3 linked regions of the Arabidopsis thaliana genome follow. The protein of the gene in region 1 interacts with the protein of each later gene in a pairwise test. Each region holds a gene or a part of one and is shown in the gene's direction. Other genes may lie near its edges.

Region 1 (4,264 bases):
TCATCTCATTTATATACGCTGATATTGATTGCTATTTATCAAATATGGAGAAATGTGTTTAACTTTTAACATGATTTTTAGGATATTATTGTCGTTGATATATATATCCTTCACATCATTAATTATTATTATGGATGTGAAAATACTATAGAAAAGCTATTAAAACCCCAATCTTTGTTCATGAGACAACAAAATTCTGGAGTCGGTGAAGTAGACATGACTTAATGGATTCTAAGTTTGTCCGATTTCTCCTTTGTTCCCATGTGATGTCTTAAGATAAAATGATCATCATCACACTTTCTTTTTCTCTTACTCCTTTGTTTCGATTCATAAGGATATATTGCTTTCGTCCACTTCTAATATTCTTATATCACTTTATTTAAAAGACAATGTACAATTTAATAAAATTAATAATTTGATGAATGTTATTGATTCATATAGATATTTAAAATGTATTTGAAAAAGGGGTACAAATCTTATTGTGAATGGATAATTAATTAAGTTGCATACTTCAAAAGACAATCATGTGGATACTTTTTTATTATTAGTTTTATGGATTTGAAATTCTGAAAAATACTCGTCTCAATTATTCTTAGAACATTAAGTTTGACCTAAAAGAATGGTTTGACTAGTAATATGGGAATTATATAGGTGCCCCTTTTCACAGATGATGCATCCGAATAACAAAATCATATTACTTCTTATATCCTACCGTCCATATTAATTATATTAGATTACACATTTAAATATAATATATACATCATTAGATCTAATATAGAAAATCTTATTAAAAAAAAATCCTTATATAAAGAAAAATCACAAGGTTAACACAACCTTATCGATAAATAAAGATGTTAAAACTGATTTTTATATATGAAGCAAAAGTAAATTAGGGCTTAGTGATGTCTAGTTAAAGTACTTGTGTTTTGAAAAGGTAATGAGTCATGACTCAACAAGGTACACAAGGCGTGCATCGGGTAAACCACAACCTTTTGTAATTGTCGATATAACAGCATGCCAATATTCACATGGACCATATACTGTGTGTATATTATATATTACCATATATGTGAGTTACATTTCATATTGTAGAACCAAGGACTAAATTTAAACATAATGTACCATATTCTTTTAATTAGATTATTCATAAGATATCCAATTTAAAAGATGAGTTAAAATGATCAAGAAAACGCTACGCTGAACTCTAAAGTCTAATCTTTATCATTTATAGAAGTGTTATGAAACAAATCAATACCTGGTTAATAATTGATGTAGTTTCATTTTTTTTTTTAAGAAAAGAAAGTGATGAAGTGTTTAACTAGTCATAATATTATAGATCCAACTTCATTTCAATATATCACGAGTGCATTGGCGGCTGCAAAACATATTTTTGAAAAGAGCAAAAAAAAAAATCAAGGATCATAAATAATATAGGTCTTGGCTTTTTAATTCTACCAATAGATTTACAGTGGACAATTAAAGAAAAAAAATCACGAAATTATCATGGTTTGGCTAATTGAGATAAAATTCATACGTTTTCCATCAATAATCGTACATCATCCATTTCACAACAATAATTATTCCTAAAATGTCGTTATTTTCATAACATTGGTTAGATGTTCTAATAAGCTACTATTATATATAACTTCACGTCAATGTATGTTTGATTTTGGCATCTAAAATTTCTGTAAAATTTAGATATTCGCGTATACTTTTTTTGGGATTTTCTTCTTAGCCGTATTATAACTGCAACTCATATCACATACGTGGATGATAAAATATTCGAGTTTAATATCTCCTCCGTATGTAGATTTGATATGATCCATAATATTAAAGATGAAAATGAACTTGACTGATTATTCAGCGCATTCATTTTATTTTCCCTTCGAGGATAGCGAAATCCGCCACGTGGCATTACTACATCCATTGCTTTTTTTAACATAAATACTTAAGTCGCAATTCTTCTAAATTTTGGAGGCTTATGATATTGGTAGGGTTCTCATATTCACTTCCAAAAGCATCTTCTTCTTTCTAATTTTCTTTTTCTTTTTATCTTATTTTCATTTTATTCATATACTTTTTGAAAAGAAAAGTCGAATCACATACTTTCTTCTCTCTATTTCTCATTCTCTCTTCTTCATCATATTACTCATTTTATAGAACAGCAAAACCCTAGATTTCCTGTTCAAGCTCAAGACCGTACAAAACTTTGGAACTCATGTAAGAAACAGTACACGTTTTTTTTTTTGTTTCTTCTTCAGTCCGGATTATAAGAATTTTGTCGATTGAAGAAAACAGGCTAAATTAAACCCTAATTTTCTCTCTTAGACAATTCCTACTTTCTCTCCATTTTTCTGGATTCGCTCTCGTTTTAAAAGGATTCAGAAATTAACTATATTATTTGAATTCTTTTGCCATAATTCCCTTATGTTTTCTGCTAATGGATATACATTTGGTCTTCTTTCTGTATTAGATATAAAGATCTCGAGAATAGCATTATGAATATCGTCTCTTGGAAAGATGCAAACGACGAAGTTGCAGGCGGCGCTACGACAAGACGTGAAAGAGAAGTAAAAGAGGATCAAGAAGAAACCGAAGTCAGAGCCACCAGTGGCAAAACCGTAATTAAAAAGCAGCCTACATCGATCTCTTCTTCTTCTTCTTCGTGGATGAAATCCAAGGATCCGAGGATTGTTAGGGTTTCACGCGCCTTTGGAGGCAAAGACCGTCACAGCAAAGTGTGTACGTTACGTGGACTACGTGACAGACGCGTGAGATTATCAGTCCCAACGGCTATTCAGCTCTACGATCTTCAAGAACGGCTCGGTGTTGACCAGCCTAGCAAAGCCGTTGACTGGTTGCTTGATGCAGCTAAAGAGGAGATCGACGAGCTACCTCCGTTACCTATCTCGCCGGAAAATTTCAGCATCTTCAACCATCATCAGTCCTTCTTGAATCTTGGTCAACGGCCCGGTCAAGATCCGACCCAACTCGGGTTTAAAATCAATGGATGTGTACAAAAGTCTACTACTACTAGCCGCGAAGAAAACGATAGAGAGAAAGGAGAAAACGATGTCGTTTACACAAACAATCATCATGTTGGGTCTTATGGAACTTATCACAACCTGGAACATCATCATCATCATCACCAACATTTGAGTTTACAGGCAGATTATCATAGTCATCAACTACATAGTCTTGTCCCATTTCCATCACAAATTTTGGTATGTCCAATGACGACATCACCAACAACTACAACTATACAATCTTTGTTTCCATCATCATCGTCAGCTGGTTCAGGGACTATGGAGACATTAGATCCGAGGCAAATGGTAAGCCATTTTCAAATGCCATTAATGGGTAATTCTTCATCTTCGTCTTCCCAAAACATTTCGACATTATATTCGTTGTTACATGGTAGTAGTAGCAACAATGGTGGTAGAGACATTGATAATCGGATGTCGTCGGTCCAATTCAACCGAACTAATAGCACTACAACGGCTAACATGTCGAGGCATCTAGGCTCGGAGCGTTGTACAAGTAGAGGAAGTGATCACCATATGTGAAGTTAGATTATTGAAACGATATAATTGTTGTTTGATGTGTTCAGAAATAAGGGGACACAAAACAAAATATAAGGTAATTACTATTGTACTATGTTTTGCTGATATATTTTTTAATAGACAAATTAATGTTATAAATTGATTTATTAATTTACTATTAGCATGTGTTTTGAAACTTTCTCATGTATATATATATATATAGCTTCCTCATAGGATCTGAATACACACAAACATACATGAAATGTATTATAAGTATCTGATAGTAATGTATGCACTTTGAGATGAGAAGCTAAATTACATTCAGATTCATCAAATATTTAGCAAAAAAAAAAATCAGATTCATCAATAGGTAACGTAATAATATGAAATTGAATCTAATAATTTATACTGATCTGTTATCGAGGTATTATGTTTCTATTGGATGCACGGTACAATGCAACTATAGAACTCAATGTGACCGTAGCTAGATAGATTATTAGATGATGATATAAGTGGAGATTCCACAAAACCCAAACAAACCTAACATTACTATGTCATGTGAAGCAGATATATATTGAACCCATTATCAAATAGAAATTCATCATGAATGGTTATTATACATACAAGTGCCCATTTTAAAATCTTATTAGCATAGTAAGTAAACTATCAAGATGCAAAGAAGCCATTCCCATATAAAAATTAAGATGTGTAGCTAGGCTAAA
Region 2 (3,587 bases), on another chromosome or scaffold:
TTCCTCTTTCGACACGTCCTCCATATGTATTATCTTGGCTTAATGATTTGATATCATCAACAGATATGATGCACCCTGAAATGTTAGAAAAGCTTGTCTTGAATAACTTCTGTAAGTAAAAACAGTTGATCCCATTTAAGTATGTGAGTTCTTAATGTATTTTAAGTGGAAAAGAAACGTATCTTCATTAAGAAAAAGAAAATGCTGGAACAGTTACTATTAGATGCTTGAATGTACCATGACTTTTTTTGCAATCCGTAATTGCTCCCTTTATGGTGATTTTCAAGAGTTTCTTTGTTTTCTTACATCTAGGTACCATACCTGCAAAACTACTTATTCAGCTGACAACGGCCTTTCGAGAGGGAGGCTTACGTGATCGTAGTGGTAAATTTTACTATAAGGATCATCTTCCCAGAACCAGTGTCCCTGTCTTAGCTCTTGCAGGTGATCGGGACTTGATCTGCCCCCCTGCGGCTGTGGAAGGTATACTAACATAATGTTTATTATGAAATTCTGCATAGATGACTCTAGCATATACATGAAACCATTCATTTACCCAGATATGCATTTCATTTTAAATTCTACATTGCTGTTACTGAATTCTTTCGAGTTATGAGAGGCTGTATAAGGCGTAGATGGATTAACTTTTGTGATACTTTCCACACACACCAAATAAATTTTTAAGCTACTCACACATGCATTTTCACCATTATGACTAATTACAAATGCTTGTGAATATGGCAGACACTGTTAAGCTGTTTCCGGAGAACTTGGTCACTTATAAGTTACTTGGAGAACCAGATGGACCACATTATGCACACTATGATTTGGTTGGAGGACGACTGGTATGTTTGTTCCCCAGTCATTTCTAGGTCTCCTCCTATGTTGGAACTTTGTTCAATGCTGTATCATGTGCATGCTTGTTTCGTTTGTTAATCGTTTCTCTGACAACTTACTGCAGGCAGTGGAGCAAGTCTATCCTTGCATAACTGAATTTCTTAGCCACCATGATTCCGCATAAGTGAAACATTTCGGGAGTTTCTGTTCCTTGCATGCTATAGCACATGTAGATTGTAGACGTCGCACTAAGGTGGTGTCGAAGAAGTGTGTTTCAGAAGCGCCTGTTAAAAAGGATGCCATTTCCGTTTAAGACACGTACATTTAGTATCTGGGCAAACTGTACATGAGCTTAGGATGCAGTTTTTTCAAGTCATACACCTGTAAATTAGGAAAAGCATCGAATGAGATGCTGGAAGCTCTTGTCTACTGTGATGATTTCCCTTGTTTTGTTATGGCAACGAGCTTTTTATTTGAACATTTATCTTTAGAAGAACTGGTGTGTTCTCTTGTACTGCTTTGCTTCTTTTGGAGGACTTGAGTTATCCATGAGAGCAATTGTATAGACATGGATTTATGTGTACATTTTCTGTCTTAGATCCATTAATGACACAGCCCTACTTCTCAGATAATGTGTGGGATACATGATGTAATGATAGATCTGAATTGTCTAGTATTAAACAACAGAGCTCTCTTTCATGAAAGATATTGTCTCTCCACCATCATGTAAGACCATACCTAGTTCTTCTCTTTCTTTGTCCATAAATTAATTCGTTGGATTCTCTATGGTACAGAATTCTCTAGCACGACTTACCTATTTCTTTTGTAACGTGTTTGATGTTGAGTGATTACAGGTTTTGACTTGAGACAATGAGTTGTCAACACTCTCTGATAACATTGAGACACTTCACTAGATAGAGATGTGCTTGCTGTGATTAGTATAGTACAATTCTGACTTCACGATAATTTCAGGTTTTTGTGTTGGCTGACCAGATGTATTGCAGCGATCCTCCCCATCCCTTGCACTTAGTGGCATCAGACAAACAACAAAAAGACCACAAACTGATCCTTTCCTGGAAGGTAATGTGTTCTTGTCTTTTGTTTGTTCCCTGTCTGCAATGATGTCTCTTAACTCTCCTGACACTCTTAGCCTTAGCTGCTTGATATAAATCAACATCATTCTCACCTTTCTATGTATCTGTTATGTGCTGAATATGTATTTGTTATAGAAACCAACAATGGACTCAGACCCACTCGGTGTTTTCCCAAATTCTCCCAAGTATCATCCATATTACTCGCAGACCACGGAGTTTGGTGGCGTAATCGATTTAGGTCTCAGCCTGAGAACCATACAACATGAGATTTACCACTCATCTGGCCAAAGTGAGTTTCTTTGCCGTTTCCATTAGTATTTCCATTACCTTTAATTTCTTGGTAAATTTTTTCAACTCTGAGACGGTGTTTACTTATGAGTTATGACATGTGGCAAAGGATATTGTAGTAATGAAGGATACAGACGGAAGTGGGGTTATGTAAAGGTCACCATGGATGGTTTGGTGGTAGGTCGCAAGGTCTGTGTTCTTGATCATGGAAGCTATTCAACTCTTGCTCATCAACTCGAGGACATGTTTGGTAAGTTTTTCATGGGAAGCTTGGGATTCAAAGATGAGTAAGTACTATAAGTAGTAATGTTCCTAGTAGGCTTATACCGGATGTTCATTACAATCTGTAGGGATGCAGAGTGTGTCGGGATTGAGGTTGTTCCAGATGGAGTCTGAGTTCTGTTTGGTCTACAGAGACGAAGAAGGTCTGTGGAGAAATGCTGGGGATGTTCCATGGAAGTAAGCTCTTGATACTTTCTTTGTAGATTACTGAAATAAAGCGTTTACATGTGTTGTGATTTGTAAATGACAGTGAGTTCATAGAAAGCGTGGAGCGGCTGAGAATCACAAGAAGAAACGATGCTGTACTTCCCTTTTAATATTAGCTTCTCTCTTTCTTCACTCTTTGTTATAATTTCCAAGTCAGCCTTGAATCGGAAATGAAACAAAAGAGAAAAGGTAAATGTAACTTTGAATACGATTATATTCGAAATAAAGAAAGAACCACGAACTACTTTTTTCGGTGAAATCCTGATCACTAGAGCTCCGATATGTTACGTCTGGATTCTCGTCTTACCATGATACGAAGATATTGTGAACCATCCAGTTTTAAGATATAGTGGTGTAATTACGATGGTGAATTTGCCATTTTATCTTTCATACTTTTCAATTCATAATCCGCATAAACGAAAAATGAGTAGGATATCGAAGGCCTTGTGAAGACAAGAGAGCTCAACTCCGGCGACAACCTCGATCTTTTTTCTTACATTTTCATTCATACGGAGTTGTTGAAAGTCTACGACGTTATCTTTTACACGTAAGAGTGACTGAACCGGTGGCTGATTAGGATGACGTGATTTCCATAATTAATTCAACACCCTCCAAATACAGAAAGACATGCATTTATATAGTATAAAATAAAGACATATACAGTATATGCTCTGCATGCTTAATATTGTTACAAGTCAATGAGTCATCCATTCATATCTAATCCTCCTAAGAACCTAATCTGATCCATATCCATTTATTACTAAGAAAACGTTTTTTTGTTTAACATAACCAAATCAAAAGAAGGAATAATTTGGAATATCCAGAGAAGTCCATCTCAGCATCCAATAGGCAATAGGAAAGGTTTGACCAAAAACGTAT
Region 3 (4,091 bases), on another chromosome or scaffold:
ATCTTTCTATCAAATTTATGAATTTGGTCTCATCTCTATCTTTTTCTTTTGCTTTTACTTTGTGTAAGTGGTATTTTTTTTTTTTTTTTGTATCATGGATTAAACTAGATTATGACGGTTTGATCTTGATGGTTGGGGTTTAAGTCTTATTAACTAAAATCGTTCTTTTGAGGCGATCTTTGTAGGAAAAACCAAACTAGGATAGATTTGTGCTCAAATGAACTAACATAGAAATCTAAAACTGAAAATAAGAGACCTCATTAAGCTTATTGCACAAAACAAAAGTATGAGGGGAAAAGATTTAGATTGTCCCCAAGAATAGAATGACTTTAGTTTTGATTTCAAAGAAGGGGATAGACTATGGAGTTAAGTGACAACTCTCTACGTTAGTCTCACTGTTCTCACTACATGATTATATATAAGAGACTACTTGCTCATCTACTTAACCTAATTACATGAACTTGTGTTGGGTTTTTCCAATATCATGAACTTATAATCTTTGGTTTTGTTAGGAATGCTCTTTTAATCTCAGTGCTAAATTATGCTTGATATTTATAACTTTTTTTTTTTTTTTTTATATTTATAACTTTATACGTGCTGACATGCACTTGAGGACTTTGAGGTGTCGAATCAAGAATCATGATGATAAGGAGTTTAGGGATGAAAGCAGACTATATAATCGTATAGGTGATTAAGTAAGCATGGTTATTTAATGACTGCTCAGTCACTTCATTTACTTGTGTATTAATCATGTTTACTAGTTAGTTTTCGTCCATTTCCAAACGCTAATTTGTTGTTCAATGACTGCTCACTCACTTCATTTACGTTAAACGTTTCTTACTTGTCGAATGCATACTTACTTGATTTTGACCTATAGTTACTTGTCGAATACTGTGACCTCGTATAAGTGATCAAAGGCGTTACAACTTTTGGTGGTCTTTTACACATAAGTGATAGTTTTCAATTATTTTTCGAGTCAAAGCAATTAGCAAATACTTTTTTAGGAAAGTTTTTTTTTTCTTTTTTTTTTTTTGGGCAAAATTTTTAGGAAACTTATAAATAATAAGTTACTTATTATGGAATCATGTACTGTTTTTTTCTGAAGTCACTCATCACTCGTTCGTTTAAGTAGGTTTTGTTTTGTCACTGAACCGAAGTCAAACCAATCTAAATACCAAAGCTGGTTTAATGTCTCTGAAATTCGAACAAAACCAAAAGCGAACGGAATCTTCGGTTTCGATACCGACGCTTCTTTGATGACTCACAACGAAAGATATATTTGAGGGCAACGGGCACAAGTAGGGTCAGGCAAAACTAGTGGAGTTGAACAATCGATAACATATTCGGGCAGCTTTTCAGATCTGCCCGTCTTTTCCTACAATCTCGATCGTTGTTTCGACACTTGTCCTCATTGTATTAGCCTCCTTTTCACTGTTGCACATCGTGTCGTTTACCACTCCTACACATTTTCGTGGTTCTGAGTTGACCTATCACTACAGTGTGAGTGGAAAACATGAAAACGGCACGATGTTAATGAATATTAGAGAAGGACGGAGGCTATGAACTGAAAAAACGACATGGTGTGTCCCTCTTGGGTCTAGCCGTTTAGGCCTCTGTTAGTCATTTCGTCTCTTCCTTAGTTAGAACAAAAAAGGAGAGACCTTTAACAATTTTCTGAGGGTAAGATCCAGAGATTGATTGAATCAGCTTACTATTTTATATAATTCAGGTAAATTCTTATGTTTCTTTCCCTCCAGATTTTGAAAGTTTCTAGCTTTTGTTGTTCTGTATCTACTCGTTTCCGGGAAAATGCTTTTGCTATGTATGTTGAGATGTGATAGTAGAGGTTAAGATTGGTTTTTCTCTGTTCTGGGTTTGCTTTAGATTCTAGGGTTGTGATTGAATTCTGATTTTGGGGTTTTGGTTTAGTGAATTCCGATTCTCAAACTCTTGGCTTTGGTACTGACTTTTGTGCTTTGTTGTTGTTTCAGTTTGTTGTTCCTCAGACTTGTAACTAGGACAGTCTTCTCATGAATCATGACTTCTTCAGTACATGAGCTCTCTGGTTTTGTCTCTCTTTCTGACCATTTTCATTATGCTCTCGTTTTATTGTTGTATCTTCCTAACTGATTCTTGGTGGTATGTTTTGCTGGTCAGATAACAATGAAAGTCATGCGAAGAAAGAACGTCCAGATTCCCAAACCCGACCACAGGTTCCTTCAGGACGAAGTTCGGAATCTATTGATACAAACTCTGTCTACTCAGAGCCCATGGTAATTTCTCTCAGCCAAAATCTCAACTATTTGTGCAGGCTACATTCAATGAGTGATCTTTATTTCGATTATATGATATTTGGTTTAGTTTCTGTGTGATCTTGCTCTCGGTTATAATATGTTTGCTTGTGATTCTCTTTTTCAATGCTAAAAGTTTTGTTTTGATGCTTACAATGCCAAAACTTGGTTGTTTGAGATAATTCAAGCAAGAAAGTCCCGGGATCATCGCCTTTCTGCAGTTTTAGACTTCGTACGAATGTAAACTTTGATTGCTTTGAAAATCAGTCTTGAGATGCAGTGTAATGATAATGTTGATTCCAAGTAATGCTAAACTTTTTAACCTGAGATGATACGGTTTTTGTTTTTGTGTGTGTTGGTATTGAAGGCACATGGATTATACCCGTATCCAGATCCTTACTACAGAAGCGTCTTTGCACAGCAAGCGTATCTTCCACATCCCTATCCTGGGGTATGTATTATTTATTACTCAGCCCCAACGTCTCCGGTTTGGAATATTTAGAAAAGCTTTTGTTTTATTTTTAAAGTTTTTTTTTCAGGTCCAATTGCAGTTAATGGGAATGCAGCAGCCAGGAGTTCCATTGCAATGTGATGCAGTCGAGGAACCTGTTTTTGTTAACGCAAAGCAATACCATGGTATACTCAGGCGCAGGCAATCCCGGGCAAAACTTGAGGCACGAAATAGAGCCATCAAAGCAAAAAAGGTAAAATCCTGGCGGGCAAGTGCTGTAATTTGTTTGGTAGAATCCTTCCCAATAAGTTGTAATTTCTTGTTTTCAGCCATACATGCATGAATCTCGGCATTTACATGCGATAAGACGGCCAAGAGGATGTGGTGGCCGGTTTCTCAATGCCAAGAAGGAAAATGGAGACCACAAGGAGGAGGAGGAGGCAACCTCTGATGAGAACACTTCAGAAGCAAGTTCCAGCCTCAGGTCCGAGAAATTAGCTATGGCTACTTCTGGTCCTAATGGTAGATCTTGAGGAAGGTTTCTGCACAACCACAAGTTTAGTTTCTATTTTGGGTGGATGTTCTCAGGGCATCATCGTCTTTAGTGTTTTTGGATACGCTGTGTACAGGTTATTTGCTAGGGTAAACTTTGTTTTAGCGATTAGAAATAAAACTAAGCAAAGAAATGAAAAGTGTGATTGGAAGTATTGTTGTACCAAATTGATATTCTTTGCCAATGAACTCATGTTTTGGAAAGTAAATTAATGTTCTTAGCTTTGTTTGCTATGATTTTGAGGATAACTAACACTGATGATAACTACCACTGTGGATTAGTCCATTGTTAGACTAGACTGTTTATTGGTATTCTTCTATATATATGAAATGCATTCTACAGGATCGGATTTGACGTTGTAATTTAGGAGACAAGTAAAACAAGAATTCTTCCGATCTCATAATGTGGTCAATCACTAGGCTCGTTTTCATTTTTAATGAACACATTGCATGCATATCCGACCATATGCTCTTCCGATGATACATTTTGAATGACACGACATACATTATTTTACAATCACAATTCTCTTTTTATACGAGGTATTGTTTCTTTTCTCGACTTGTAGCTCTGTTTTAGTTTTGTCAAGTCTTTAGACCTGTTTACACCATTTTATTATTATCTTCTTTACCACATATAAACTTAGCCTTTTTCTTATATTCACAAAGAGACCATATTTCACCATTCCATTGATGATATATTGGTTAGATGTGTTGGGATAGAATTTGAAACATTGATTTCTGCGACCAAATGGATTCGTTTTGGGAAGAAGGTAGAATAATCTTAGTTTACCACTTTT

What was found. Proteins that work in one complex are often made in the same cells at the same time.
Region 2: the proteins of PTF1 (region 1) and IAA34 interact in binary tests that used the Arabidopsis thaliana proteins (3 or more experiments, as listed by UniProt).
Region 3: the proteins of PTF1 (region 1) and NF-YA4 interact in binary tests that used the Arabidopsis thaliana proteins (3 or more experiments, as listed by UniProt).

What each region holds. Positions count from the first base shown.
Region 1 is NC_003074.8:389,024-393,287, forward strand, and holds PTF1 (plastid transcription factor 1), read left to right. Parts: upstream 1-1,696; 5' UTR 1,697-2,220; intron 2,221-2,473; 5' UTR 2,474-2,498; coding exon 2,499-3,566; 3' UTR 3,567-3,744; downstream 3,745-4,264. UniProt on the Arabidopsis thaliana protein: Plays a pivotal role in the control of morphogenesis of shoot organs by negatively regulating the expression of boundary-specific genes such as CUC genes, probably through the induction of miRNA (e.g. miR164).
Region 2 is NC_003070.9:5,181,487-5,185,073, reverse strand, and holds IAA34 (indole-3-acetic acid inducible 34), read left to right. Parts: upstream 1-1,660; 5' UTR 1,661-1,830; coding exon 1,831-1,917; intron 1,918-2,044; exon of another isoform or gene 2,045-2,066; coding exon 2,067-2,220; intron 2,221-2,328; coding exon 2,329-2,469; intron 2,470-2,569; coding exon 2,570-2,678; intron 2,679-2,751; coding exon 2,752-2,818; 3' UTR 2,819-3,083; downstream 3,084-3,587. Other genes in the region: AT1G15060 (alpha/beta hydrolase family protein), read left to right, coding at 1-111, 313-483, 745-845, 962-1,021. UniProt on the Arabidopsis thaliana protein: Aux/IAA proteins are short-lived transcriptional factors that function as repressors of early auxin response genes at low auxin concentrations.
Region 3 is NC_003071.7:14,649,202-14,653,292, reverse strand, and holds NF-YA4 (nuclear factor Y, subunit A4), read left to right. Parts: upstream 1-1,583; 5' UTR 1,584-1,729; intron 1,730-1,991; 5' UTR 1,992-2,037; coding exon 2,038-2,065; intron 2,066-2,157; coding exon 2,158-2,273; exon of another isoform or gene 2,274-2,619; coding exon of another isoform or gene 2,620-2,658; coding exon 2,659-2,742; intron 2,743-2,830; coding exon 2,831-2,995; intron 2,996-3,071; coding exon 3,072-3,275; 3' UTR 3,276-3,587; downstream 3,588-4,091. UniProt on the Arabidopsis thaliana protein: Stimulates the transcription of various genes by recognizing and binding to a CCAAT motif in promoters.